Tamandua tetradactyla: one gene and its partners. The protein of the gene in region 1 purifies or fractionates together with the protein of each later gene. This does not show direct contact. Links are inferred from orthologs where the notes say so. Each region holds a gene or a part of one and is shown in the gene's direction. Other genes may lie near its edges. The genes, in order: COPB2, COPE, COPG2 and ARCN1.

What was found.
Region 2: the proteins of COPB2 (region 1) and COPE purify together in Homo sapiens (affinity purification with mass spectrometry; 4 studies listed by BioGRID and IntAct, with this or other methods). This does not show direct contact. The link is inferred for Tamandua tetradactyla from reciprocal best matches to the Homo sapiens genes COPB2 and COPE.
Region 3: the proteins of COPB2 (region 1) and COPG2 fractionate together in Homo sapiens (co-fractionation; 4 studies listed by BioGRID and IntAct, with this or other methods). This does not show direct contact. The link is inferred for Tamandua tetradactyla from reciprocal best matches to the Homo sapiens genes COPB2 and COPG2.
Region 4: the proteins of COPB2 (region 1) and ARCN1 fractionate together in Homo sapiens (co-fractionation; 5 studies listed by BioGRID and IntAct, with this or other methods). This does not show direct contact. The link is inferred for Tamandua tetradactyla from reciprocal best matches to the Homo sapiens genes COPB2 and ARCN1.

The regions. Positions count from the first base shown.
Region 1 is NC_135341.1:83,463,114-83,470,746, reverse strand, and holds the start of COPB2 (coatomer subunit beta'), read left to right. Parts: upstream 1-4,629; 5' UTR 4,630-4,760; coding exon 4,761-4,763; intron 4,764-7,633. UniProt on the Homo sapiens protein: The coatomer is a cytosolic protein complex that binds to dilysine motifs and reversibly associates with Golgi non-clathrin-coated vesicles, which further mediate biosynthetic protein transport from the ER, via the Golgi up to the trans Golgi network.
Region 2 is NC_135337.1:95,906,327-95,913,959, forward strand, and holds the start of COPE (coatomer subunit epsilon), read left to right. Parts: upstream 1-4,625; 5' UTR 4,626-4,686; coding exon 4,687-4,812; exon of another isoform or gene 4,813-4,928; intron 4,929-7,633. Other genes in the region: putative ATP-dependent RNA helicase DDX49, read right to left, coding at 54-151, 335-411, 590-665, 1,371-1,511, 1,626-1,813, 2,054-2,175, 2,261-2,346, 3,142-3,265 and 1 more. UniProt on the Homo sapiens protein: The coatomer is a cytosolic protein complex that binds to dilysine motifs and reversibly associates with Golgi non-clathrin-coated vesicles, which further mediate biosynthetic protein transport from the ER, via the Golgi up to the trans Golgi network.
Region 3 is NC_135327.1:172,420,637-172,428,231, reverse strand, and holds the start of COPG2 (coatomer subunit gamma-2), read left to right. Parts: upstream 1-4,580; 5' UTR 4,581-4,671; coding exon 4,672-4,708; intron 4,709-5,874; coding exon 5,875-5,927; intron 5,928-6,486; coding exon 6,487-6,567; intron 6,568-7,595. Other genes in the region: TSGA13 (testis-specific gene 13 protein), read left to right, coding at 714-913, 1,341-1,468, 4,100-4,266. UniProt on the Homo sapiens protein: The coatomer is a cytosolic protein complex that binds to dilysine motifs and reversibly associates with Golgi non-clathrin-coated vesicles, which further mediate biosynthetic protein transport from the ER, via the Golgi up to the trans Golgi network.
Region 4 is NC_135334.1:22,115,467-22,122,678, reverse strand, and holds the start of ARCN1 (coatomer subunit delta), read left to right. Parts: upstream 1-4,201; 5' UTR 4,202-4,359; coding exon 4,360-4,362; intron 4,363-4,719; exon of another isoform or gene 4,720-4,829; intron 4,830-7,212. UniProt on the Homo sapiens protein: Component of the coatomer, a cytosolic protein complex that binds to dilysine motifs and reversibly associates with Golgi non-clathrin-coated vesicles, which further mediate biosynthetic protein transport from the ER, via the Golgi up to the trans Golgi network.

The DNA.
Region 1 (7,633 bases):
CGTGGAGGCAGCCGTTTCTTTTAATCCTGATCCAAAATTGGAAGTGGAAACTTTTGAGTAGATTATCCCCATGAAGATAGGATGCACCAATTATGGGTATGACCGTTGATTAGATGGAGATGTGACTCCACCCCTTCCAGGTGGGTCTTTAGATTAAGACTGGAATCCTTTAAAAGAGGAAACATTTTGGAGAGAGTGAGAAATGACAGAAGCCTCAGACCCAACAGAAACTTCACAGCAGAGAGAACAGAGACACAGATATTTGGAGATGCTCGGAGCTGAGATGTTGCCATGAGATGTGAAGCAAGCCAGAACCTGGAGAGAGCTAAGGGAAGCCAAGAGATTAAAGCCAGCCCCCTAAAAGCAAAGTGAGGAGCCCCCACAGGAACAAAGGCTGAAAGCAGTGGAGCCCAGGAGCCAGGCACCAACAGATGCCAGCCACGTGACTACCCAGCTGACAGAGGTGCTCCTGACCCATCGGCCTTTTTTGAGTGAAGGTAACCTCTTGTTGGTGCCTTAATTTGGATACTCTCACTTCCTTAGAATGTAAACTTGTAGCTTATTAAATTCCCCATTATAAAAGCTGTTCCATTTCTGGTATATGGCATTCTGGCAGGCAGCAAATTAATCCACTTTCAGTGCAACATTGCTAACATCAGCATTTGCCCTTCAACACTAATCTTTCGGTAAAAATGAGGCATATTCATCACTTCCATTTCTTTATCATCCAATAATTTCTTAGAAACTTGCTTCTCTTAGCAGTACTCAGCTGAAATGTTTTGAAGGCTACCAGTGCCCTAATCATTTAATTCACTGGCAATATTTTTCCAAATGCTAAGCCTCCTTGAGTTCTCTACAGCCATTAACACTGCTAATAGCTCTATGTTCTGACTTCCCTGTATATCCGTGGCAGAGAGTTTCCCTGGTATTCCCACTTTGAGCGTTCCTTCTTTATGTCATTTACTGGCACCATTTCTTCCACCCATTCTCTAATTAAAGATATTCCTGGGCAGTGTGATGGTGGCTCAGTGGCAGAATTTTCACCTGCCATGCCAGAGACCCAGGTTCAATTCCCGGTGCCTGCCCATGCAAAAATAAAAAAAGGATATTCCTCTGGTTTCATTAGATTCAAAACATCAGCATTTGGATGCTTCTCCCTTACCTCACAACGAACAAGTCATTTGTATATCCTATTGATTCTAGCTTCTCAGGGAAAAAGGAAGAAATCACGGTCTAGAAAAAAAGAGCATTAGTTTTGGCAATAGACTTGAGTCCATCTCAATTTTGTCCCTCATTCTCAAACAGTGTAACATGGAGCATATTACTTAAATCATCTGAGCCTCAGTTTCTCATCTATAAGTTGGATAAAATAACACCTATCATTAGGATCATCAAAAGGTTTGCAGTATGCAAAGTGCATATCCCAATGTCGGATACATAGTGGACACTCAAAGTTACTCATTATTACTGTTATTTCCATACCTACCTCCCCAAAACTTGTAGTCCCTCACTGTCCCAATCCATTTCTTCCAGGGGACCATACACATCAACAAAAGCTGAATCTCCTAGAACCTGGATATGAACAAGTTTCTTTTCTAGCCCAATGGTTCCTAATTGCTTACTGAATCAAAGCCATCAAAATCTAATTCCTCCTATCATTCAAAACTCTGCAGGTTCTAGCCCAATCTCATTCACTGCTGTTCTAAATGAAAGCCATTCTCCAAGCAAACTGGACCTTTTCTGGTCCTTAAACACACCATACATTCTTCACCTCAATATCCAGCTCAAATTCTGCCTCCTTTATGAAACCTGTTATCCCCCCTACCACGGTATTTATTGGGACATCCTCTCAGGGTACCCATATTCTGCCTGGTATTCAGTATTTGTACATAATTGACCCTTTCTGCTTATAGATTATAACACGTAGGAGGGGAGAAAGTCAGTTCTTCATGCTTCTACTTGACACTTTGCTAAGTGACAAGGCTAAGCAAGGCTAATTGATTCTTCCTCAAGGAATTATTTTCACTTTTTCAACTTCTTACAAAGGGGTGTGAATAGGATAAGAAGGAAGGATATCCCAGAGTACAATAAGAATCACTGCTGGCTGAACTTCCACTTGGAATTCGTCCAGCAGCAGCACAAACACAGAGTTGAAACAGCCATCTCAGAGATTGACAAGGTAGGGCTTTGAGGTCTGTTGATCAATTGCAATCAACCTCTTGGAAAACCCTTTAACAATTTGCTAAACTTCTACAATTTGCTAAACTTGTCCATATTTCCTTCCTTTCCCAGAGCTATTTTTCCAACCTTCCAGTCTCCTCTAAACCAGAGAGTAAGCAAAAGATTTAATTTACTTTAAACTCGAGCAAAAAGAGATATATTTATGTATTAGATTATGTTTGAGAATATTATTTCTTTAAAAAGAAATTTCTTTCAACCAAACCCCAAAACCAAATTTTTCTGGATATTATCTTAAGCACTTATTATATAGTGCTTTGTATACAGTGAAAATTCAGTGTGTAAGGGGTGAAAGAATGAAGAATGAATTTATAGCCTACAATTGCAGAATTAATATTGGATAATTACAGTGGGAAAAATGAGGAAAGATACAAAGTGAGAATAATACTTGGCAACCCAGCCCCTACCTCTACGCCAGTTAGATTAATCCTTGGATGCCTAACAATATGTAAGGATTTAATAATCCCCAACCTTGAGAACAGATGTTCTAGTCTGCTAGCTGCCAGAATGCAAAATACCAGAAACAGAATGCCTTTTAAAAAGAGGAATTTAATAATTTGCTAGTGTATAGTTCTAAGGCTGAGAAAATGTCCCAATTAAAACAAGTCTATAGAAATGTCCAATCAAAGGCATCCAGGGAAAGATACCTTGGTTCAAGAAGGCTGATGAAGTTCAACGTTTCTCTCTCAGCTGGAAGGGCACATGGCGAACATTGCAGTGTCTCCTGGTTTTCTTATGGCTCTACAAAAGGGACTGTCTCCAAAATGTTTCCTCTTTTAAAGAATTCCAGTAAGCAACTCCACCTTCAGTGAGTGGAGACACACCTCCATGGAAATCATCTAATCAAAAGTTACTACCTACAATTGGGTGGGTCACAGCTCCGTGGGAACCATCAAAATGCTTCTACCCAGCAATATTGAATGAGGATTAAAGGACATGCTTTTCTGGGATCCACCACAGATTCAAACTGACACAACAGAGATGGTATATCATTTTATTCTATATTACTGTATTAAGTAATACACAGTTTGAAGATACGTCCTCAAATATAGAGTATCCAGGAATCAGACATATTGAAAGCCTCCAACATTCAAGCAAATCAGATACAGTTCATATCTGTTAATTTTTCAACGAGCTCTTGTGATCATCAACTGCTCCATGGAGTAGGCAAAGTATGTCATTATTAGTCACAATTTATACATCACGGGATCACACTGCTTGCCCTAAAACCAGGTACAGGATCCGTTCTTTTTTCTACTATTGAATGTCACAGAGACACAGGATGGTAAAAATGGAATAATTTTTAAATGGATTTTTTTTTGGGGGGGTGGGGTGCATGGTCGGGAATCGAACCGGGTCTCCGGTATGGACCGCGGGCATTCATTCTCCCACTGAACCCCCGTGCACCCCATGGATAATTCTTAATCATCCAAGCTGTTTGTTTGTTTTCCTTAATGAGGAAAACAGAGGCCCAGAAAGAAGTGACACGACTAACCAGTGGCAAAGGTCGGAAGCCAGATAACCTGATCTCTGAATATCACTCTACACAGAAACACATATGCACACTTTTTTTCCCTTCTTGAAAATCCGGAAGTCTTAAAAACTGTAAAGCGAGTTTTAAGACCACATTTATATGTCGCCGGAGGCGAGTTTTACTGTTTGAGAAAAAAAGAAAAGAAAAGCCAGCCGAGGGGGATGAGGGGGGTTGGCAGAGGCCCCGCACTTCACGCCGTAGCGCCGGGGGCCCAGGTCCGCGTTCCGGGTTCAACTGTCTTCCCGGGAGATGCTTTCTGACGTCCGAGAAGCCGCACGGGACGTGGAGGACCTTTCTACAGCCCTGGGTTCAGAATCCTGACTCTACTTCTTACTATGTGGGGCATTTCACTTCTTCGGGTCTCGGGTTTGGGAGGAAAGCTCGTCGGGCACACAACGCAAGACGGAGAAGAACATGTGGAAGAAGTAACCGTCAGGGCTCAATAAATGGGCATCGGGTCCAGCGCGGCGTGTCCCTGCCCCCTGGGGAGCTCCAGGGCGGAAGGCTCTTCGGCTCGGCGGGATGCCGGCCGGGTCAGTGTCCGGCCCGGGCGCGCAGAGCGCCCTCGTGTCCCTCTCCCTTTCTCCTCCTCACAGACGGCATCAGGGGCCGCCCCACGGCTCCTCAGCCTCTCAGCTTGCGGGGTTTCCCTGCCCTTAGCGTCCGACAGGGGTTGAGCACTGCGTTTTTCTCTCTCCCGCACCTCCCGATTCAGGAGGACTTGGCCACACTGAGGACCCCAGGGCCGCCTCCCTCTGGGGCCGAGGCCACACCCCCGCGTAGAAGGCCGCATTGCCTAGGAAACGGGGGCGCGGCTTGGGAAACGACGGCTCTGCGCAGGCGCCCCGGCCGTGGCCTCTGACTATCGCGAGAATTCCCTCCCGGAAGTTCCACGTCAGTCAGTCTCCCGGTACGAGGGTCGGTGGGTCTGGCCGAGCCGGAGTAGCTGTTCGCAGGCGAGGGCGCTCGGAGCCGGACGGAGAGAGCCATGGTAGGCCCGGTCCCCGCAGGTGGGAGCGGGGCCCCGCCGGCTGCGGCCGAGTGTCGGGGCTCCTGGACTGGGGACGGCAGTGAGCAGTGGCCCGGTCTCCAGCCGCGCCGCTGCCTCCGGCCTTGCCACGTCCTGGTGCAGCTTGAACCCGGAGAGGGAGGCGGAGGGGCCCAGGAGGCCGCGGTGGTTTGCTGCTGCGAGCGAGGGATCCTTGAGTCCCTCGGTGCTTACGGAGCTTCCTAGAACCGCGCGGTCGTCAGCGGGGTCCACTGTCCGGTGGAATCTAAGAGGCAGACGGTGTTGGACTCCGTAGGAGGTTTTGACAGAGTTACTTACTATGCCCTTAAAACGGAGACCGCTAATCAAATTGTGTTTGTTCTGGGATAAGGTGTGCCTTCCACAAACTTACGAGCTTAAGGAGAGATGCAAAAAAAATTAAAGTGTGTGTGGAGTTAAAAGTGAAATTTTAAGTGCTTTGGGGTGCCAGCCCTGAGGTTTCTAGTGGGCAAAGGATTGGAGTCTTGAGTAAAATTGGTTAGTGTACATTTCTGCATTTGCAGAGCAGTGTCTGGTAAGAATGGCAATCATGACGGCACTTTTCTTATCATCCCACCATTGAAAATGACCGAAAATAATTTGGAACACTGCGTCCGTTATGTATTTTAATTGGAAAACAGTAGTGTGAAAATAATGCCCTTTAAAAAAAAAAAACTTAAGAGAGGATTTTATATTTATATTTAAATGTTTTCTATCTTTTTGCTCATTTTGAAGCACAACATCAAAAGACTTTGGAGTGTGAAGAACTTATGAATTAATGAATCCAAATCCTTCATCTTGCATTTTAAAAAAACAACCTAAAATTAAGTTTGTTTAGCTAATTGAAGCCTAGCTGGAACTAGAGCAGAAATTCTTATCATTTTTGTATGGATTATCGATCCCTTGAAGAAACTGGTAAAAGTGATGGATACTTCCAGGAAGGTGCCTAAAGGAGCATACCCAGTCTTGCATTAGAATTTATTTCAGTGGGCTCACAGGCAGCAGCATATTGACACCCATCGCCAGTCTCATCCATGAACTTATTTGGGTCCCCAGTTTAAGAGTCCCTGAAGGAGGTCTCAAATCTCTTAAAGATACTACATACTGCTATGACCTGTGGTTTAGGGTCTGCCATGCTTGCAATGATGGACATTTTCAGAAAAGGAGCTTTGATCTGCCTGATGTAGTTTCTTTTGCAGTCTTTACAGTTAAGGATGCATGTTCTTAATGAAGGAGCATTTCTTTCATTCTTTACACATTTGCAAATTTTTTTGTAAAAGATGTAAAATGTTCATTACCATAGAGCATTTACTGTGCAAAACACTTGCCCATATTTCCTAATCTCACAACAACTGAGAGATAGAATTATAAATAATGTTTATTAAGTACTTACTGCAGGCCAGGCACGTTCTAAGTACTTAACATTTAATTTAATTCTCATAACACTAAGCAATAGATGATAGCATAGCCTTAATTTACATCTGTCAAACTTGAGAAAGGTTAAGTAAACATGCCCACTAAACTGTAATTTCTTTCTGGTCCGAGTAATTTTCTAGACCTGATTTCTAGATCCCACCAAATATATATGGTGCTGTGGAGATAAAAGACATGTCTACATAATGACCCTGCCCTCAAGGAGTGTCTGGAGTAGTAAACAAGAAGAAACATGTACGCAAATGTACCATGAATGATCAAAATGAAATGCTGTAGGAATTTAAGTTAAGTAAGGAAGGGATACTTCTGGCTGAGGTCACCAGAAGGGTCTTATTAGTGGCAGTGCCATTTAAGCTAAGTCTGAATGTATTCAGTTTTTGGAAGATGGAAACAGTGAGAGGCATTTAGAGTTGAACGCACAATATGAGCAAGGCCGTAAGACTTTCTTAGTGCATCTGGCCTCTACTCTCCTCACGGAGAGTAGGCTGCTTTTCTTTGTAACCTGGGGAGATGTCTACGTTTGCATCGCTAATGATTTGTGACAGATATTTGCTTTGTGGAAATAATACAATGAATAAAGTGTAGAGGAAGGAAATGGCCCAGCATATTCAGGGACCAAGGAATATTGAGTAGTTTAATTTGATTAGAGATTAAAATTTATCCAAGAGTATGGTGGGAGATAAATCTAGAAAGGTAATTAGGAATAGATTGTCCAGGACCTTGCGTATTAGGAAAGAAGTGTTATTTTTATTTGATTGCTATGAAACCTTTGGGAGTTTGAGCAAGAGAGGATTCAGGTGTTTTGGGAAGGGTCCTCCGGCACATGAGAAAGATTGCTTAGATGATTGGGAGATGGAAATTGGGGGAAGGGGCAGTTTGGGAGCTATGAGAACCCTGCTGGGGATAGTGACAGTAAGATTGAAGAGCAAGATGGTTGTAATTATGAAAACGATTTGAAAACTGGTTGTTTGGTGGAAGGAAGAAGGTATTGAATGAAGCTCGTACCTGTAAGCCCTTGTCAAAATGAGCTGTTCATCCCACCTTCAGCCTTCTCTGACCTCGGAGACTTTGCCGTCCTTTGACTAGGAGACCCCCACTTCCATCCCCAGTAAAATGAAAGCAAAACTGATCTTGCCCTCAAAGAGCTTAGATTCTGATCAGAAAAGCAGACAAATAATCAGGCTACTTATAATCTCTCTCTTATACATACAGACACTTACATGTCACTAAAATCTTATTGAAATGTCACCTTCAGTCTGACACATTTACTAATGTAACCATCTGAATTTTCTTTTGCTTCCCTTTTAAAACATTTGTGACATTTGCTACCTCTTTTGGCATTTCCACATTCTGCCTTGTGTTGCATTATTTATCTAGTTTTTTTACCTTTCTCACCAGAT
Region 2 (7,633 bases), on another chromosome or scaffold:
GCTGCCCGGTGCCCTGCCCGCCCTCCCGCCCTCCCCCTCCCCCTCCCCCTCACCTGCACGGGCCGTCCGGCCAACTCTGTGGATGTAGATCTTGGGGAGCCCAGGGGTGTTGTGGTTTATGACAACCTGCACTGCGGGAATGTCGAGGCCCCTGCAAGCAGAGGGGGCTCAGATCGTTGGCCAGGTGAAGGGGCTGAGGTTGGGACGCACCCACGCTCACCCAGTGGGAAACTTAAGCCACCGACCCTGCCGTGGCCAGGCTGCCTGTCCTCAGGCCCTCAGGGATGCCACACACTGCCCTGGGGAAGGGGACCCCGGGGCCCTGGCCGCTCACCGGGAGGCCACATCCGTGGCAATCAGGATCTGGTAGATGCTGGACTTGAACTTGGCCAAGGCGGCGAAGCGTTCTTTCTGTGCCAGGTTGGGAAAGCAAGGGGGCTCAGGCCGCATCTCAGCACGGGGACAAGCTGGGTGTGGGTGGGCAGCGGGGAGAAGGGGCAGCAAGGATGGCTAAAAGCATGTTCCCAGCGGAGGGCATGGCCAGGGTGAAGTCCCCGTGGCTGGTGCGGGGCGCAGGGCCCGGCCTCACCTGCTTCATCATTGAGTGCAGGGCCACGGTGGGGAAGCCGAACTTGCGGAGCATCATGCACAGAACCTGGCAGGTCCTGGAGGTGAGGACACACCTGTCAGCCCCTCCCACCCCGTTCCCCCCAGAAGCCAAGCAGGGGGCCCCGCACAGCTCAGGAAGGGGGAGGGTGGCTGGTGCCGGAAGGTCTGCTGTCACCAAACTCTGCCACCCACAAGAAGGAGAGTCGGGAAACAGGCAGTGAGAGAGACCAGTCAGCATCATGTAAGCTGCTGGATCCCGCCGTACCTGACAGCCGCTCTCCAGCCAGCCCTTCACTTTTCTGGTAACTGATATATTTCCTTGGGAAACAGCCAGTTAGAAAGTCTGGCTCCCTGGCATAGGGTGGGGTAGCCAACCTGTCTCGTGCCAGACCAGCCTCTGGTAGGAGCCAATGTGAAGTAGTCTGAGAGGCCCACCAGCTAGGTACGGGCTGGACATCCGTGCATTAGTGACACCCTGGGCCATGGCAGCTTCCCCAGGGGGTTCGGGGCCTCAAGGGCTGCTTGGCAATAGAGCTGCAGAGGGGCTGAGGCATCAGCGGGGCCCAGCCTGCCCTGGGCTGGGTGACCCAGGTTCACGGCCCGACCCTGAGCTTTGCTTTCAGCCAACTGCCTCTATGTGCCCAGACTGTGCCCAGGCTCCCGGGACCTGCTGCCCAGCCCAGGGCTGTGGCCTTGGTGTGGCTGCTGGGGAGAGACCAGGGCGCTGGGGTCCCGAGGCCTGGGCGGGGCAGCCTGCTCACTTGCACGTGCGGGTGAAGATGACGATGGCCCAGTCCTTGTGTGCGTCATGGAAGGTCTGGACCAGGTGGACCAGGTAGGCGTCCTTGACCTTCTCGGGCACCAGCAGGTAGTGCTGCTCCAGCTGCTCCACCGTGCTGACCCTGGCATGGGCAGGGCCGTCGAGCTCAGTTTCTCTCCTGCCCAGCTCGGTCTACGGTTTTGGAACGCCCATGACCCCCCAACCATCCCTCCCACCCCGGGCCCCCGGGACGCACGGGGCCTGGGCCTCCCAGAAGAAGGGCTGGTTGGTGGCCAGGCCTTGCAGCTCCCGGAGCGTGTCGGTCAGCGTGGCGCTGAAAAGCAGCGTCTGCCGCCGGGCTGGCACTGCCCCGAGGATGGCCTCCAGGTCCACGGTGAAGTCGGTGCAGCCCTGCTCCAGCAGCCGGTCGGCCTCGTCCAGCACCTGCCCGGTAGATGGGGGTGAGGCCCATGAGCCAGGGCCGCCTGCCTCCTGGGAGCGCCCTCCTCACGCCAGTCTCAGCTGCGTGCGGCCCCGGCTGCTCGGTCCCCCAGGCTGCCCTCCTCTCAGTTCCTAACACTCTGCTGGGTGATCCATTGTTGCTGGGAGGGGGAGGGGGACGACACGGATCTGAGCCCCCCATGTGAAGGCTGAGCCCGGCCTGGGGCCGACGAGCCAGCTCACCAGGAAGCGGATCTTCTTGATGCTGAAGGTGCTGGAGCTGCGGAGGTGGTCGGCCAGGCGCCCTGGCGTGGCAATGACCACATGTGGCCTCCGGGAGAGCTCCAGGGCCTGGGCCACCATGTCTGTGGGCGGAGGAGGAGCGGGGGCTGGGTGGGGCTCTGAGGACGCTGGGGGTCCCAGGCCCGGAGACCCCCGGCACCCCCTTACCCATGCCACCGACGATGGTGCAGTCTTTCAGGCCCAGCGGCTTCCCCAGAACCCGGAACTGCTCAGCGATCTGGTAGGCCAGTTCCCTGTGGGTGCACAGGCACTGGACTGAGGCCAGCACAGCGCCCGCCCCTGCCGCCCGTCCCCACCCTATTCCAGGCCTCCTCCTGGCCTCCCAACTCATCCACACCAAGTCCCTTTAGCTCCCTCTAACTCCACCCAAACTGGCACCTGCCCCTACCCCAAACTTGCATCTGCTCCATGGTCCCCTTCTCAGTAATGGCCTCGCCAGTCACCCCCGCGCCCAAGCCAGAGAAACCTGAGCACCAGCCTCCTCTGCCCTGCCCAGTCCCCTCCTCCCTGCCCCAAAGTCCCAGCTCTACCCGGACCCCCTCCCTGGCTTGCGTCCTCTTCTCTGCTCACACCTCTCAAACAATTCGAAAGCCTTGGCCTGGCACTCAAGGCCATTCGTGAGCTGCCTCCACCACCTTTTTGTTATCTTTTCCTTACACCCCTGCATAGATACACTCGCGGTTTCTTTGGTCTACACTGCTTCATCCCCACGTGACCCTTTGGCATCCTTCACACAGAGCCTCCCGTGACCCCTCTCCTCAGATCCAATTAAATGCACACCGCCTGGCACTCAGCTTTCACTGCTTGTCACGGGACCTGTCCTTTTTTTTCGTGCCAGTCAATGGCTGGGTCGTACTGAACACTCTTATTTTTCACTGTATGGATCTCTGGACTTCTCTGCTGAGGCTCTGGGCTCGATGCCTGACCCCATTTTGCACATGGGAAAAGTGTGGCACAGAGCAGTGAAGGTATTTGTCCCAGAGAACACAGCGAGTTAATCACACCCAGGGTGTCCGTGGGGGGCTTACCTGGTGGGAGTCAGGACGAGGCAGAAGATGCCGTAGGGGTCCTCAGACAGCTTTTGCAAGATGGGCAGGACAAACGCTGCCGTCTTGCCGCTGCCTGTCTTGGCACAGCCCAGGCAGTCCCGACCTGGGCAGGGGAGGACAAAGCAGCAGCCACATGCTCCACAAACAGTTCCATGCGGCAGTTTAGGACAGCCGGCATTTAATAAGTAGTTACTGCAAACCCTGCTCCAGCCTGTATCCTTTAAGTTCCTGGCACGTGAGCAATCACCATATAAAGGAGAAACCATCACCAGTCCCATTAAATAGAGAGAGATGCTGAGTCTCATGGACTCGCCCAGGACAGAGCTGGTGACTAGAAGGACTGGAGAGAACTCATGTCCACCTGACCCAAGATGCTGTGCTGCTAGCCACCGCCTCATTCTCACTCGTCTGGAGCATCCGGGACTGGGAAATCTGGAATGCCCTCCCCCAACCTGCATCCTACACTCCACAGCGCTTCCTTCACTTTCCTTTTACGCAGGGCCTCAACTTGTTACACCCTAAAATATCCCCCCAAAGGAGCACTAGGCCTACACAAACAACTCTCATTTTTTAACAGGACACTGAGTAGAAAGACTGGGCTGAAAGCAGTAAAAAACTGAAATTCCCAGGACGTCTTAAATGGCAAAACAGAGTTAGGCAAGGAAAGTGGGGAGAAGGACGGTCAGGGGACCACGTGGTCCAGGATCCAGCACCAATTTTGACAGCCTCAGTTTCCTTTTTTGCAAAACAAAGACAGCAGGTCCCGCTCTGCCAAATCCCACAGTACTATTGACAAGTCACTCATCAAACCCGATCTGTGCTTCACATTTAGGAAAGTTCAGAGAGGTTAAGCCACTTGTCTGCAGACACGCAGAGACCGAATCGTGCAGTCTAAACGGTATCGCAGTCCTGGGTGCCTCCGGAGCTCAGGCTGGCCCGGCACGCTAAAGGCTGGTCCTCGCCTCGGGACCGGCCATAGGCAAAGGCTGCGAGAAGGGAAGGGGGGCGGAGAGAGGCGGAGGGTGAGGAGTACTCACCCTCCAGGATGGCGGGGATGCAGCCGAGCTGCACGGGCGTGGGCTGCTTCAAACCCAGCTGCCGACACTGTTCCACGAGCCACGAAGACAGCCCGAGTTGCGCGAAACCTGCCATCCTCGCCGCGAGCATGAACAGTGTGAGCCGCGCTTCCGGCGCGTGCCAATGGCGTCACGAGAACCTATTCGTTCATTGGTTACTCCTCCTTGGTGATCCCGCCCCCTTCAGCTTACTTGACCATTCCCGGCCTCCACCGCCTCTTTACCGCGTGTCCCCGAATGCCAGACCCCAGCTAAACTACAATTCCCGAGATGCCCTGCGAGAGGCCCTTGCGTCTTCCGCCCCCCCTACTTCGGCTTACGAGCCTCCCATTGGCTCAGAGCTCAGCCTCCCGGAACAAGGAAAACTACACTTCCCGGCGTGCTCCGCGGTGGGCGCTTGCTTCCGGCCGACGTGTCCCTCCGGAAGAGAAGCGAGTGAGACTAGGAGATGGCGCCCCCGGCTCCCGGCCCGGCCCCCGGCGGCCCGGGCGAGGTGGACGAGCTTTTTGACGTGAAGAACGCCTTCTACATCGGTAGCTACCAGCAGTGCATCAACGAGGCGCAGCGGGTGAAGGTGCGGCCGGGGCGTGGGTGATCGCGGGCCGCGCTCACTTCTCATAATTTCCCTTCGTCTCCTCGAGGCGGTTTCCCTCCGCTCGCCCCTTCAGAGCGCGCCGGGGCATTTCCGTTGTTCCGTCAGGAAACCCAAGGCGGCACCACTTCCTGTTCCTGAGCGCCCACTCTGCGCCCTGCAGGCGTTTGACTTAGGAGCAATGTGTAGCGCTCTAACGAGGGTCACGGTAAATAACAGTAGTAACAGCGTAACGAACCCTGAGTCCCTTTGCCGAGCGCCCGCTCAGTGCCCGCTGTGCGTTCACCACCTGTGAGGTGGGGATGTCTGTCCTCATTGTACAGTTGACAGCAGCGAGGCTCCGGAAGGAAAGTGGCTTTCCCGAAGCTATCCTGCCCGACTAGTCCGGTTGTTTCTCCCAAAACCCTCTCCTTCACTTGCTTGTTCACGCATTCATTCTTTATTGAGCATTTGTAGGTGTCTTAGTTTCCTTGGACTGCTGTAACAAAGTGCCACAAACTGGATGGCTTAAAACGACAAAGATTTATGAATTTATGAGGTCATAGTTCTGGAGACCAGAAGTCCGCAGTCAAGGTGTGGACAGGGCCGGGCTCTCTCTGAGGTCTGTAGGGGAACCTCTGTTCTGTGCCTGTCCCCTCGCTTCTGGTGGTGGCTTGCCAGCAATCCTTGGCATTCGTCCTCCTCTCTGTGTCAGATCCCCTCTTATGCAAACACCAGTCATGTGTACAGGCTTAGCTTAACTGTCTAATTCACCTATTACAACCTTATTTCTGAGTAAGATCACGTCCCAAGGTGCTCAGGGTTGGGACTTCAATATATCTCTTTGAAGGATGCCATTCAGTTGTGCAAGCATGGCTTGGTCACGGTGGAAGAAGCCAGCCTGGGCCTCTTTATTGTGATCCAAAATGGGGTGAATGAGGGGGAGGACAGAGAATGAGGTGGTTATAGCAGGAGTTTGCAGTTTTTTCTGAAGGCATGAGAGACTGCTGGAGCCCTAAGGCGACAGAGGGCTGAGGAGGAATTTGGACACTTGCCTTGTTTCTGGCACCTGATGGATTCACCTGGTTTCTCTGAGTCGGTGTCCTGGACCTTAGTAAGCTGTTAGGATTTGTGGAAACAACATTTGTGTAGTTGTTGTTCTGTGTTGCTGCTGAAGCAAATTCATACCAACTTAATGGCTTAGAATAGCACAAATGGAATATCTTACAATTTCCGTAGGTGAGACATCTGGCCTGGGTCTCACTGGGCTAAATCAAGGTGTAGACGGGGTATGTTCCTTTTTGGAGACTCTGGGGGAGAATCTGCTTCTAGGCTTGGGATGGTTATGTCAGTGTATCAATTTGGACAGGTTATGGTGCCCAGTTGTTTTGTCAATCAAGCACTGGCCTGATTGCTTCTGGGAGGGTATTTTCTGGATCTGAAGCATTAGACAGTTGATTGCATCTGCAGCTGATTGTGTCTACAATCAACAAAGGAGATTGCTTTCAGCAATGAGAGAAACCTCATCCAATCAGTTGAAGGCCTTGAAGGGAGAACTAACAGGATTTCTGCAGTCAGAAAGAAGAATTTCCACCTCTGCCTCAACCGGCTTCTCCAGGGAGTTCATGGAAATCTTCATTGCGTTCCCAGCTTGTGGCCTGCCCTATGGAACTCAGACTTGCTACCCTACAGCATGTTCCTGTCACGTATCTCTTAATATTTACATTTGTACTTATCCATCCTGTCAGTTCTGCTAGACCTCGGCTGACATGGGCTCGTTCAGGTTGATCCTTGTGGGACTGAGGTGTTTCCTGACTGCCATCAGCTGAGGCCACCCTCCTGCCACTCTCTGGTCCTCCCCCTCCATCTCAGATCCCACGATGATGCGGCAAATCCTTCTATGCTTGGAATCTCCTGACCTTTCCTCCTGCTGAATCCCTTCCGGGTCCCACTGAGCGAATTCCCTGTTGCACGTGTGGTCTGACGGGACCTCCCATGTGAACTGCAGAGCCCCTTCTGTGATGCGTCAGCTGCTTGCCGGTGCCAGGCTCGGGGTGCAGCTCTCTGGGGCCTTCTCTGGCCTCCCATCACCTCCCCTTCTGGGGCCTTCTCTGACCTCCCACCACCTCCCTCTGGGGCCTTCTCTGGCCTCTGGGGCCTTCTCTGAATCCCACCTCCCCGCAGTTTGGACGTGTTGGTTGTGTCTGTGTTCTGGGAGTGAAGCCCCATTGTAGACGTCATTTCCCCAGGACCCGGGCTCGCTGGCCCCTAGCTGTGGAACACAGGCTTCTGGGAGTAAGCATCGCCTGGCTGGTGCCTTGATTTTGGACGTCTCCTGACTCAAAACCGTGAGCCCGTAAATTCCTGCTGTTTAAGCTGGCCCAGTGTGGTGTTTGTTTTAGTAGCTGGGAAACAAGAACACGCCGTGATTGTGTTTGGCTCCCAGCCGGGAGCTTGTATTCCTCTCTGCTCTGCTCTCTCTGGGACGGGCCAAGCCCCTGTACTGCTTTGAGCCTCAGTTTCCCCTTCTGTCAGACGAGGTAATGGCACCTATATCTAGAGTTGTTTTGAGGTTCGGAGTCGCATTCAAGCTCACCTTCCAGGGCCCCCTCTGACATTGAAGTGAACTTGCCGTGCGAATCTTCTCACTTCATAACACGCAAACCTAATCTCAACCCCAAAGTGCAATGTCAGTGGGGCCCGTCCTGTGGGGAAGGGGCTGCAAATGCCCACTTCTCGCTGGTGGCTGCTGGTGGCTGGTCTCTGAGCCGCTGGCCTGCTCCATCATGGGGGGACACTGAAGACAGGTCAGCACAAACTGAGA
Region 3 (7,595 bases), on another chromosome or scaffold:
TAATGGAAAAGTTTTGGTAATAGATGGTGGTGATGGTAGATCAACAATGTGAATGTAATTAACAGCACTGAATTGTATATTTGAATGTGGTTAAAAGAGAAAAATTGGGGTTGTATATATGTTACTAGAATAATTTTTTTGAAAAAAAAGTCCATGGGATGTCACAACATAAACAATGAACCTTAAGTTAAACCATGGACTATAGTTAATAGTACAATTATAAAAATGTGCTTTCATCAATTGAAACAAATGTACCATACCAATACAAGATGTTAATAATAGGGTAGTATATGGGAACACTGTATTTTGTGCATGATTTTTCTGTAAAACCACAGCTTCTCTAATAAAATAGCAAAACAAAACAAAAACATCCCATTCCATGGCCTTTTCACTGCAGGCAGAGAGTGGCATGGTGACGAGGCAGCTGATTCTGAGAAATGAATGTACAGCCCCATGGATCTATTGCCCAATTAATTACCAAATATTTGATTTTTCATTAATTGAATCCTCAAAAACAGGGTAACTTCCTATACCATTCACTACAAAGGGCCAGTGGGCAAGTTCAGTCAGTTACTTAGAAAACTGGCCACGCTTTGGACAAGTTATTTAACAATGAAACCGACAGGACTATGCCACTCAAGAAGAGGCTTTTTCTCGTATGAGTTTCTGAGTTTCCACTTCACTATCTGACAGGTTTTACTGCATCATTTTAGGGGAATTGGAACTTTGTCCAGGAACTCCCTCACTTGCAGTTCTTCCCTCTGCTGCAGGAAAGTCATTATCAGCACAAACCCATTGAAAACTTCTGTCTGCCCCTGATGCCTCAAAAGAAAAAGTCAAGACCTGAGCTGAAACCAACCTTCCCGGTGACACTGTTGGACAATTCTGCATCCAAGCGAGAACAGTGGTTTAGGTGAAACCCTGGTTCTTCTTGTACTCATTTTCTTTCCTATCTTTTCCTCATTTGTGTTACTCTCTTCAGTACATTCAACACTTTTTGAAAGTAGGGAATATGTATGACTGTGTAACAATAAGACATCGCTTCCTACATGAGCCTCAACCTCATTTATGTTCTGATAAAAGAGAGTAATGCAAACCAGAGCAGACTATACTTAGTTTGGAGAAAAGGGAGGAGGTTCTAGAGTTTATCCAAAGGTTTACAGTGCTAGGTTCCAGAAGCGTCTCTTGCCACTGAACAATACTCCAACTCTCTTCCAATCAATACCTTCTAGTCATTGTCCCTTCTTATCTCACAGAATTTTTTAAAATGTGGCTGACTTTCAAGTGACTAGTTCCATTAACTTGCCCTAGGATCTACTAAACAAACTTTCTTTGTTAAGGTTTTCCACTGACAATGATTTCAAGAGTGAAGGGAAGTATTCAAAGGTCTATGCTTTGAGGAAACAGAAAAATATGTACCCTCAGCTCACCTTTGCTCCAGTCTCTAAAAGGGATATGAGGAAAGACGGTAAGTTCCTCTCTTGTAAAGCATGGCTTTCTGACTTGAGATGTGGGCTGGAGGTAGAACCTATGGGGACTGGAGATGTAGAAAAATCATCGCATGGTGATACTGAAGACTAGTTTTCCCTTGTAGCAAGGACCTGATGGAGGCTCAAGTGGTGCTAGGCTTTGGACTCTGTTTATATTCTTAAGTTTCAAGAACTTAAGTGTTTACCAAACCACATTATGTATCATTTTGATAGGCTTGCTTTGCCTTATCAATGCATTATGTGTCCCATTATTAGTATTTTTTTAAGAGGATTTTTTTTCTTGATTCTTTTCCTAAGCAAAACCATATCTTTGACATCACAGATTTGATATACTAATTATATAATTTTCTTGACACACATTAAATCAAATTCATAATACCTTAAAATGTTTATCTAGGTATCACCTAAAACCATCCACGCATATTACACTTTGGGGGAAACTGAACTAGAAGGGTCAAAGGATAAGTGTACGAGTCTTGGAGAGCCACAGTCTTTTCCAGGTAGCATGAAGGCATAGGGTAGAAAGGGTTTGGAATAAGGTTGTGTGAGAAAGGGTGAAAAGAGAATGCTCCTCACATATTATTATTAAATTAATGTTAATGGTGGTGGTGGTGGTGGTGGTGGTAGCTACTAGGTGTTGGATACTTGCCAAGCACCAATAATTGCATTTTCAATACGTGAGACAGATAAACCAGATGATGAAGGGCCTTGTATATTACATAAGTAAAGGCTTGAGTTTTATCCAGTAGGCGATTGAAACCCACTGAAGGATTTCCGAGTACTGAATACACATTTATTAGAAGTATAACCGATGGGTCCCTAAACTTCATCAACTTATGGCTTCAAAATAAGGTTCATTTTCTCCTACTGGGTCTCTCAAGTAATTTCTGAGACTCCCTAAAGTATACTTGTTCCTCAGAACCATCCTAGTGATTGCCTAACACCTTTTCCTGCTATTCTCAGGCTAAATAGCACTGTTCTAGAGGTCTGAGTCATAGCATACCATTGCTTAACTGGCTTCTTCAGGTTTCTCTGCTCCTCCTGAGCCTATCTGTCACTGCACTCCAACCCCACCCATTGCCTCTTTTAACTCCCCTATACAGCTAAAACCAAGCTGTTCTGTTACACAAAACTTCATGGGTATAGGGGAAAGTTACAGAACAGTAGTGAGCGATTTATCTTGCACTTAAAGGGGCAACCGTTATGCTTGGTCTCAAACCTAACCTCAGTTCCTTAATATTTCCCAGTATGCTTTCAGCATATTATTTGTTCTTGGGAATCTCCTGGCTTGTGGACGCTCTCTGCCTAGGTCCCTGAGACCCTTTGCCCAAGAAAGAGAAAGAGATTCTCTCTTTCTCCATAGTTTCTTTATTTTCAGCCCCAGAATAAATGACAGTGGGAATATCTACTTCCTTCAAGGGAAACTCTACATGGAAAATATGATCTGGATTTCATAAGCTAGATAAGAAAAAACATATTAGTTGATAGCACATTTGGTAAAATATGAGTTAAATCTTAGATGATACTATATGTAGGATATCAATAGTTCAGCTTAAATCCATATTTGGGAGAAAGAATGTACTTTTGCAAGCACACAATCTTATTACGGACATACCCAATTTACATTCTAAATAGAACACTTAATATTTCAATCTGCAGCATCTACTAGATTTATAGCAATTTTACAGTTACCCTAAAGAAAAAATGAATGGATACTTGTTCCACTCATATACCTAAAGGACCCATTATAGTGCTTTTCCTAAACAATCTTTGTGGAGACCAATGTCTCTACTTCTAGAAAAGGAGATTGCTAGCATATCCCTGCCCCTAATAATGTTCCATGTTTACCAGGCATGCAACTAAAGAACACATAGAGAATGGTTTAGATGGGGCCAGAAAGGCTGGAGAGGACGTTGTCCAAGAGATAGATGATGAGGATCTGTACTAAGGTGATAATGATAGTGGTAGAGATAAGGAACAGATTCAAGGGATATTTAAAAGATAATGCAGGGCAGGCTATGGTGGCTTACTGACAGAGTTCTCGCCTGAGTTCTCGCCTGCCATGCCATAGACCTGGATTCGTTTCCCAGTGCCTGACCATGTGAAAAAAAAAAAAAGATAATGCATACAAAAGTGGAGAGGGACTGGAGAAAGAAAATCTCACAGTGAAAGCTTCCTAAGAATCCACAAAAATTGAAAGAGAATCTGGATAAAAAGTCATGCCATTGAAGTTAAAGACAGGAAAAGTTTCTTAGTTACACTCTCAAAGAACTGGAAACCAACATACACTTTAGTAAAATTCTCAGTGGATCATGAATATACAGGTGAATGCAAGTTAACCAATTAAGAGTTACGCGGCAATATGGTTGAAGATGGAATAATTTGAAAGGGGAGGAATAGAAGAAGTCTAAACTGGCAGTATGTTTAAATCAGGTTTTGATGAGGGCTAGGAATCCAAACTCACAAAGACTGGGAAAGGTCCAAAATCTACCGCTCGCTTAGAGTAAAAACCAGCTTTCTGGCCCTTCCAAGTCTCTTCACGCTTCACATTCCCTCTAGACCCTCCGGAAGCACACCTTCACCTAACGGTGCCATGTGCTTTATTGCAGTTTCCAAGCCAGTGAGTGAAATACCGACTTCCAAGGTGATTTGGGAACCACTAACCCTTTCATCGCTCCTGGGAGAGAAGCCCACTAGAACTGTGCCAGGAAACAGCACCTTCCTCAATGGAAGGGTCCAGCAGTGGATTATAAAAACAGCCACTGTGGTTAAGTGAAAAACTCTTCAAGCCTCCCACCTCCCACTCCGGAGACTGAGGGGGCCGGCAAAGTCTGCTATCGAGTACATGCCAATCAAATAAAATCACATTCCTGCCTGCTCCGGGCGTAAAAGTGGGCTGGCAAGCACCTCGTTCCGACCTCTCAGGCTCTGGCGGCAACGCCAGCGCCTCGCACCGCCTCCGCCCGGGTAGGGAAGGAGCAGAGGGCGTGGCCGCGGGGGAACGGGGAGAAGAGCCGCCGCTGACAGCCGGGGTAGGAGGGCGGACCTTCTACCGGAGTGACGGGAAAGCAGCCCAACAGGCTCGAGAGCCCGGGGTCGGCCTTCCTGCAGCCTCTTCCGCTCGCCGGCTGCGGCGCCCTGAACGGTGGTGGTGGGTCTGGGCGCTGGGAAGTCGTCCAAGATGATTAAAAAATTCGACAAGAAGGACGAGGAGTCTGGTACGCGCTGGCCTTTTTTACGGCCACCCTCACCTGCGGGAGGGCCCCTTTCTCCGCCTCCCGCCACCTGCTTTTTGGGACTGCGGACCTGGGGGCGGGGCGCGGGTACCGGTGTGAGAGGGGCCGGAGTTTGAGCCCAGCCCCTCCCCTACGCTCCAGCGGGGGGACCCTGCCAGTAGCCCCTCCCCCGGGCCCCAGAGCCTCCCCTTGGGCGGCCGAGTCGCGCGCTCGCGACCCAGGCACTCGGGCGCAACCTCGTGCGCTGCTACCCGTGCACCGCTTGGGGGTTCGCAGCGGCCCCTCCCGCCCCAGGTGCCCTGTCCCCGGGCGCCGAACCGTCGGCGGCGTAGCCCCTCCGCGCCTCCTCCCCCCTGCTCCGGGGGCGTGGGTTGCCTGGAGAGGGGGCGGGCCCATGGCAGGTGGCTGAAGGTGTGAGCGTGCGCTTTTGAGTGGCCGTGGGTGCTCCTGGTGTTAGTGGGAGCCCCGTTTTGGGGTTTGGGATTGACTGGACAGTGTGTATGTGAAGTTTGTTGCGCTTCATACCTTATAGTCTTCCCTGGGACATTCTCTCTGTCTACTTCCCAGGGGGCAAGACAGTCCCATGGTACATAGCTCACTTCATGCTCTGACTCCCAGAAGTGAGTTTGGACTTACACCCACCCGCCTTTGATCCAGTGGAAGTGGGGAAGATGCCAAGTCATCCCAAAACCAGTATGCAGTGCTTGATAGCCACACTCACAAAACACGATGGAGGGCTCAGTAAACCTCATGATCCCTTCCAGGGTTTAAGTTTGTGTGATTCTCTCTTAGATTATTCATTTCTATCTCTCAGTAAATTTTATAAGCACAAAAAATAGTGCTTGCCTTTAGGAAGACCAAAGTGCTTTACTATAATATCCTTAATATTATGTGGAGATGACATATATTTGTATCATTCATGTAAAAAGAGGGGAGGAAAAGAAGACGCTGCAAAAGAGAAGTCCAATATCTTAAAGCAAGAATCAAAATAATTTTATCCAATTTGTATTCATATTATAATGACCACTGCCATATCCAAGTGGCCACCTCACTTAGGTGCGATTTCCCAAGTACTAGATAACCTTCTGTTGAATGTAAATAAGTTTGTGTAGGACAGTTAAAGGCTTTTTTTTTTCTTTGTAATGTAGGTAGTAGCTCCAATCCTTTTCAGCATCTGGAGAAGAGTGCTGTCTTACAGGAGGTATGGCTTAGAACTACATTGTGCTCTTTCTTACATATTCTATCTTAGAATTGTGGGCGTATAACCCCTGGGATGTTGTGATCAGGATATCCAAAATAAGATGGAATTAGGGAATATAACTGAGTTCAGAGACTAGAGACTTGAAGGAAAAGGAAGAGGGGTTACTTGCCATAGAAGAGTCTAGAGCTTATAGAAATGCACGGGCATGCAGGCTCTGCTATGCATTGGGAATTTTAAATAAAATGTCAGGAGAGATGTTTGGTGCAAGGTTATTAAAGGAAGTTATAGGTGTTAAGCTTTTTGTAGCCATATGATGTAGATAAACCTTGTGATTCTTATTTAAGAGATAAAGCTCACAAAATTAAGTAGTGGACCTAAGAGAATGAATTAGAAGGTATAAAATGGGAAAATGAGGATCACATCTAATAATTTATCTAATAATTTATTTTAATAAAATATAATAAATTGAAAACTGTAAGCCATTGACATTATTTGGACATTGTGATATTTTATATATAATCTCTTTTATTAAAGCTGGTTTTTTATGTTTGTTTTATAGGCTCGTATATTCAATGAAACTCCGATCAATCCCAGAAGATGTTTGCATATTCTTACTAAGATTCTTTACTTACTCAACCAGGTAAATTATTTTCATTTTCCTCAGATTTGTGTCTTGGAGTAAAAATATGTGCCATGCAGTGAACTACTTTCTGGAAAGTATAATTATTTATTTTTTAAAAATTCATTTAAGTTTTAAAAGTACAGTATTTGATTAACATACTAATATGTAAAATGTCTCGAGGACAGGGACTATCACATATACTTGTTTTGTATTCGTGAGCTACTAAGCTAGCTAACTATATAGTAGGTTCTCAATAAATGCTTATTGATTTGAATTTAACAAGTATTAGTTAATGTTAGAACATGTACCTTATGTACCTCTAAAAATAAAGTGCAAAGTCTTAGACAAATTCCAGACTTATATCTTTACTCTTTTTTTTGTAGATTAGACCATAGCTTTTATTTTAATCATTGATTTGATTTTAATATTTTGATTTGTATTTACTATTCCTACTTAATTGTTAACTAGCAGTATGATTCTGGGCAACTAACTTAACTGTCCTTTTATTTTCTCTTCTGTAAATGGGGATCATGCCAATACCTGTTTTATGAAGTTGTAATGATTAAATGAAATTATAAATGTAAGAACTGAGAGTTCAGCACATAGTAAGCATTCAGAAATAATTTTTATTCTGTCATTCAGCAAATGTTTATTGCATACCTGCTATGTCCTATGCACTGTTCTAGGTACTGAGCATGGAGCAGACAAAATATGCTCTCATGGAATTTGGATTCTTCTTGCTATTATTGTCATTAATTGTATTTTTCTTATGTTTTTCTTTTTTGCCTAAGGCTAATAAAATCTCATGACATATCTAGGGAGTTAGAAATGTGATTTTGTTTCTTAGATTCATGCACACCCACTTACCTTGAGTGGTTTACATTTGTACTAAGAAGACTGGTTTCCAGTTTGAATTGTGAATATTTTATCTTTACTCTGAATCATGACTGAAGACATCATCCAGAGATTTAATAAATGTTTGCTGTTTACAAATGCAGACTGAGAAATAAACACATGCTTTTAAATAAAATATATCGGTTTACTGA
Region 4 (7,212 bases), on another chromosome or scaffold:
AAAACTTTCACCCTCAGCCAAACTTTCCTTAAGACTTCATGGCCCCAAGCAATTAAGTTAAACTGTCACAACCCTTATTTAGGAACTGCCAGTGGGCTGCCTGAAGAAACGGAATTGAGCAGGAAAAACACAGTCAACTTCTGCAGCAGTTACCCAAAGTTACAAGATATATGCAAAAGGCAACCGTTCGGTCAATTCCTCCAAGATTACTGGGGTTTCTCAAGGGAGGCTGTAGAGATTTTAGAAAGAAACCTATCTCTGGAGTCATATCTAGGTGAAGAGAGGGTAAACTCCAGTCTCTCAGTCCCATCCAATAATCCCAAAAGCATCACCCCCATCCTCCACCCGTTTTGCAGGCTGGATCACACTTAAGTTTAATGGGTAGTAAAGGACGCAAGGTGTTGATGGGAGAGTGAGGAACTGCTGTCATGGAGACAGGGAGAGGTAGCGGGGACTAGGGGAAAGGACAGTCCTCTTGAATTCCTCTGGGAGAGAGGAAGGTAGTTCCCTTTCTGCTAAAGTGAGTAGGAATTACCTGTAGCCCCTCCGAATCCGTCTCCTCTATATGGAAAGAACCCCAGTCTTGGACTGGGGCTCACTCCAATCTTAGACCTGGCCACTTAAGAGCTTCCACTTGCAGTGACCCGCCTGTCGTCAGTCGCTAGGCAAAAAAAACGCACCCCGAGACTTGCTTTCGCTCTCGTGAGAACTCCTTCACTCACCCGCGCGTCACGCTCCTTCCAGCGAAGGCTCTTTGTGCGCAGGAAGGAGGACCTAGAAGGGCTCGAATAAAGTCTCTCTGGGCAGCTAAGTCGCCTGTTTCTCTATGGTTTTAGAAAATGCGTCTGCGGGGGCATCTAGCGGCGGTGCGTGGCGTAGCGGTCTGATGAGGAGCCAGCCTTCCAATTTGGAAAACACTGCGTGTTTTTTCCTAGACAGGGTCGCTGGGCGTGTAATTCCTCCTAGATCAGTCTAATCAGAATTTAGGTAAACTTTAAGGTACGGTCTGTGTCTGATTAAATTTTGAACTATTCATAGCTCCAGAGCATTGCATAAATTAGGCGTTTTAAAGCTTGTTGGGTCGATGAATAAAGGAAGGAGTGAATGAAGACGTAAGAAAGAAGTATTTCAAAATTAGACTCATAATTAATTTGGGAATCCAGGGAAAGAGAAACAAAGAAGAGGATATTGGAAATTTAACTCAGAAAACCTCCCATGGGAAAGCAGAAAAGCAGCTTTAAAAAGGAAAATGAGAGACGCCTGTTTTGAGAGTCTTCTAGTTAATACTGGAACTGAAAAATATTTTGGTTTATGCAATCTGTTATTGCTACTAATGATGACTGCATATTGTTGAGCACTTACTATGTAGAAACACTTAGAATATATAGTCTAATTTATTAATATATTATCTAATTTAACAAAATTATGAGGTAGATACTATTACCAGTATACAAATTAGGAAACTGAGGCTGAGAGAGTTTAATTTGCCTGGAGTCACCCTTCTTGTAAGTGCTTGAAATAGAAATCAAACACAGGTCAGTCTGACTGTTAATTCTCTGCTTTTAACCATTATGGTATACTGCCTCTAAGCCATGCCTCATGACGCATGCTGGCAGGGATACTTTTTCTTCTGCACTTTAATTTCACAAATGTCATGTTTCCAAAGAATTGGCACCAATTGGTCTTTGCTGAGCTCCCGAGGTCCATTTTGCAGGTCTCTGGGATCTGCCACAATAAGATAATAATTCCAAAGAGGATTTTTACTTTTTTTTTTTTTATGTTAGAAGGCCCTTTGAGTTGGAATTGATATGGGTAAGACTGAGCAGTCTATTGTCTAGCACTGTACAGGCTCTAGAGTCAGGCAGCCTTTGTGGAAATTCTGGCTTTGCTACATTTTAGCCAGGAGACCTTTTGGTAAAATAATTTTCCTTTCTGTACCTTGATTTCCTCACCTGTAAAATGAGGGCTAATAATGGTACCTATCAAAGAGAATCATTGTGAGTCTTAAATGAGTCGAGAATTTAGAGTAATGCCTGCTGCGCAGTGAGTGTTCTATAAAAAAAAGTATACGCAGGAGAGATAATGAGAAAAGCTGGGTTTGAATCCTGGCTCTACCACTTGCTGACTGTGAGTTTGAGCAAGTTGCTTAACTTCTTTTATTCTCAGTGTACTTACCTGGATGGTTGTAATGGATTAGAGAAAACATATGTAAGTGCCTGTCACATGAAATGCTAGTGGTAAATGAAAGCGAGGGGTAAGGGGTATGGTATGTATAATCTTTTTTTCTCTGTTATCGTTTTATTTCTTTTTCTGTTGTCTTTTTATTTCTTTTTCTAAATCGATGCAAATGTTCTAAGAAATGATGAATATGCAACTATGTGATGATATTAAGAATTACTGATTGTATATGTAGAATGGAATGATATCTTAATGTTTTGTTTAATTTTTTTAATTAATAAAAGTTAAAAAAAATTAAAAAAATAAAGTGCCTCTCACAAAATAAGCTCTCAATAAAACATCATTGCTATCTTTTATTGCAGACATATATAGGTTTAATATGGGTGAGTATAGTGATTTCAAACAGAGTCAAGAGGTTATCCTGGAGGTCATTCTTATGCATTATATAGATATCCCTTTTTAGTTTATGGTGTATCGGAGTGGCTACAGGGAAGTACCTGATATTGTTGAGCTGTGTTCCAGTAGCTTTGGTTCTTGAAGATGATTGTGTAACTATATAGATTCTACAGTGTGACCATGTGATTATGAAAATCTTGTGGCTGATGCTCCCTGTATCAATAAAAATATTTTTGAAAAAATATGGGTGAGTACTGTAAGACTGAGCCGGGTATATAGGATAAAATGAAGAACTGAATTAAGTATAAAATATACTCTGTGAAATCTGACATTTGATGTCGAAGAACTAACAAGAGTCAGAAAGATGTTTTTTTGAGTCCTGATTCTATTATATACTGGAAACTCGGTAAGTCATTTAAACTTAGTTCATTTTCTTCATTTGCAAAATGGACATAATAAGCACAATAACTGCTCTACTACCTGCACTTAGGTTTTTTTAAAGATATAATTCATAAATCATAAAATTCATCCTTTAAAGTGTGCAAGTTAGTGTTTTTTACTATGTTCACAAAGTTGTCCAACCATCACCACTCTCTAATTCCAGAATATTTTCATCACTCCAAAAACAAACCTTACACTCGTGAGCACTCACTCCCTATTTCTCTCCTCCCAGCACCTGGTAACCACTAGTACAGTTTCTGATTCTATGGATTTGCCTAGTCTGGACATTTTATGTGAATGGAACCATGTAAGATGGAACCTTTTGTGCCTGGCTTCTTTCACTTAGCATAATATGTTCAAGGTTCATCCATGCTGTAGCAGGTAATGTTCATTCCCTTTTATGAGTAAATAATAGCCCATTTTGTGGATATACAACATTTTGTTCATCAGTTGATGGGCATTTGGATTGTTTCCACTTTTTGGTCATTATAGTACTGCTATAAACATTCATTTAGAGTGGGCATATGTTTTCAGTTATGTTGGGTGTATTCCTAAGAGTGGAATTGCCAAGTCATATGGTAAATCTGTTTAACTTTTTCAGAATTGCTGACCTGTTTACCAAAGCTGCTGCAGTATTTTGTATTACCACCAGCAGTGTATGAAGATTCCAATTTCTCCTCAGCCTTGTCAACACTTGTTATTATCCTTTTTTTATTCTAGCTATCCTAGTGGGTGAAGTGGTATCTCCTGGTTTTTAATTTTCATTGCCCTAACAACTACGGATGTTGAGCATCTTTTCATGTCTTGTTGTCATTTGTGTATCTTCTCTGTAGACAAATCTATTCAAATCCTTTGCTCATTTAAAAATTACGTTATTTATCTTTTTATTATTGAGTTGTAAGAGTTCTTTATATATTCTGGGTACTAGTCCCTTAGGCACACGGGTTCTTTTGAATATTACATGATACAGTGGCTGTGGGACAGCTTCATAAGCTGTAAGAAATGACGCAAAAAGAATAAGGACGAGGATCAAGAGAGAAGAGACAGAGGTCCGTGGTTACACGTTTAGGGAAAGCCTGGCCACATATCCTTAGCATTGGAGACGCAGCCCGGTACCCTAAAGTTCCCCACGCGACTCCACCGCGCCCCGCCCTCTGCCCTTTGACCCGCGACGTTTCCGGTTGGAGACGTGGCTTGGGGCCGCCATCTTGGCAGGAGGCAAAGCGGCATAGGCTCCTGTCAGGGGGGCAGCAGGTCCCGAGCGGCCGGTGCTGCCCTTCCCCTGACCCCAGCCCTACCCCCAGTGGAGCTAGAGCGCGAGTGCCCCTCACGACCAGCCTCACCATGGTAAGATCCGAACCGGTCCCGAAGTCCCGGGGTCGGGCTTTAGGTCGCCTCCTCTCCCTGCCGGACGGCCTGATTCTGGGGCTACAGGAGCCCCGCCCCAGGGCCTAGAGCCGAGCTTTTCCCTTTGGGCTAGGGGAGTCGTGTGGTCTCCCTGTGCCCTGCGTCCGGAACCTCTCCTCTGACGGACCCGGCTTCTAGGACAAGGCTGGGGCTGGGGTCTTAGTTCTACTAGAACTTGGTCCAGGATGTCGCCGATTTCGTGCTGCGGACCTCGGACCTGGTGTCCAGCAGGTTCTGTGAGCACTTAGGTTCAGCAATGGACTTCTTTTTAAGGAATTCCCTTCCTTTTGTATTCAGCTCGTCTCGCATTCTCGGTGTTTGGTAGATCTGTATTGTTCGGAATCCACATCCATGGTGTTCAGGACTTCTTTTGTTTGTTCGGAAGGAGGAAATGGAGGCATAGAGCGGTGAGGAGTAACTTCTAACGCTGATTTATAGAAATCTACTACTACTCTAGTACTTGCATGTATCCATTTGTCAGTGTGAATGAGTGTACGTTGTATTGGGAAGATGTGAGGGAGTTAAAGAGAAGATAGGGTTTTTGTCTTTCAAGGAATTTATTGCTCAGGTCAGGTAAAATGTGTGTTGGCGTATCGTAATCTGATGTGTCTTAGGAGGAGGGGTAAAAGGGGTGGGTTATACACCGAGACCTCTACATTGCCTTCAGATGCGTTATCTTTGTGTAAAAATTAACGCAGGTGAGGCCAAAACACGGAATTGCTGCTGACTTCTCTAAATGTTGCTTTATCACTACCGATTTGTAAAACGTTCATGAAGTAGGAAAAAACTGTCCTGTTCAAAAGGAGCTGGTAGTATATTTTTAGGGCACCTTATGCCTTTCACTGTTTTGAAGGATGTTCTTTTCTTTTTAATAGAATTTATAGATTAATGATTTGATTTAAAATGTCTTCCTGCATGCTTGAAAGATGAGAATGTAATTTGGTGCCAATGTATTGAGTTCGGTTGACAACCTTTTAGAGGTAAATTTGGATGGGGGGATTTAAACCATTTAAAGGTTTTTTTCTAGCTTCAGATATGTAAATTGCATCAAGCAGTTGTGCCTCATAGAACTTAGTGTTAGACATAACATTTCCAGAAACTTGTCTTTTCGGTTCTGTTACGAGCCCCAGTATTTGGACAGTGATTTTTAAACCCCTTTTCTTTTTACACACTGTAAGTATCTGTAGTGCATTTTAGAGCATATCATTTTAACAGCAGAATTAAAGCATTGTATTATATAAACCAAATACAGATAATCTGTAAAACTTTGTCGAGTTGGAACTTAGTGTTTTTCATTCATCAATAACAGAGAGATGGTAAGGCCCTTATTAAGTGATGATAAAGTATAAATTCTTGTGTTATGTTGCCATATGGGCATATATATATACACTCAGTTATATTATGTCTATGTGTGTGTATATATATTTATTATTATTATTATTATTATTATTATGGACTTGGCATGATCCAGATAGTCACAGATTTGTGAACTCTGAAGAACAACTTATCTCAGGACAGCTTGCTCTGTAGAGTCCTAAAACACAGGGACTATTTCTGTGTAATATTTTGGTTCCCAGCCCCTTTACAAAAAGATCCCTGGACAGTAGAAATGTCCAAATAGGGTGAAATTTTGTATTAATGTAAGACTTCTTTGATTGCAAAGTTGTATCAAAACCTCTAAAAGTTTAACTGTGAGTCAATAAATTTCTGTTGTTTAAAAATAAAGGTGGTGGGCGGGCGATGGTGGTTCAGTGGCAGAGTTCTTGCCTGCTATGCTGGAGACCCAGTGCCCCCCATGTAAAAAATAAATAAATGTGGGAAATAAAAGATAAAGAGAGAAGAAAAAGAAGATTGCAATGCATCCAGAGCAGGGAGGGAACATAAAACACTTCCAAATGCTAGTTTTTTTTTCCCTCAACAATGTCAAGATTTTCAACTATATAGAAAAGTTGAAAGAACACCCATATAGCCACCAGCTATATTCTATATATTAATATATTCTACATACTGTGTAATATATAGAATATATTATAGCTATATTCTATAATTAACATTTTACTCTACTTGTTTTAGCACCCATCTACTCATCCATCCATCTCTCAATATCTTTTTAATCATTACCAAGTAAATTAAAGCTGTCAGTACATGAAAATTGTTTTTGAAAAATAAGTGTTCCGTTTGTCTTTAGTAACTGAAGTGAACTCAGAATGTCCTAGACTACATAGTCCCAAAAGATTAATGAACAAATGCAACAAATGGCTTATGATGACTTCATTATAAAATGAAGTACCAAAAATGGCATCTGTTAAGTTGATCTTTTTTCTAGCTTTCTGCAAATGAATGAGAAAATATTCTTAACATTTATCAGGTAGTTATAGTCAGCTCTTTTTCTTAATAAACTTACATTTTAATGCATAAACTTGGTATTGGGTCTGTCATAGTAACCCCTATCTGTAAAATCTTTGCGTGTTTGTAGAGCGTTGTTCTTTCCTTACCAAGAATAGACAATGAGTAAACTTAGTCACATTAGATGTAAATCAGCACAGTAAATTCATTTCCAAGAAGTCATTTTTTATTGGAAAGCTAGTTTGGGACCTTATATGGCTAATCTTATATATGATGGGGGAGAAACTGAAATCCCTTCCGATTGGGGTATTATTATTATTGTCTAGATTTTTTTTTTCTTTTCATAGTCAGTATAGCATCTGCCATAGATATTGTATTTTTGACGTATCTGCTTTTAATTGTTGTTTAGAGAACAGCAAAAAAGGGAAACAATTTTCTTGAGTT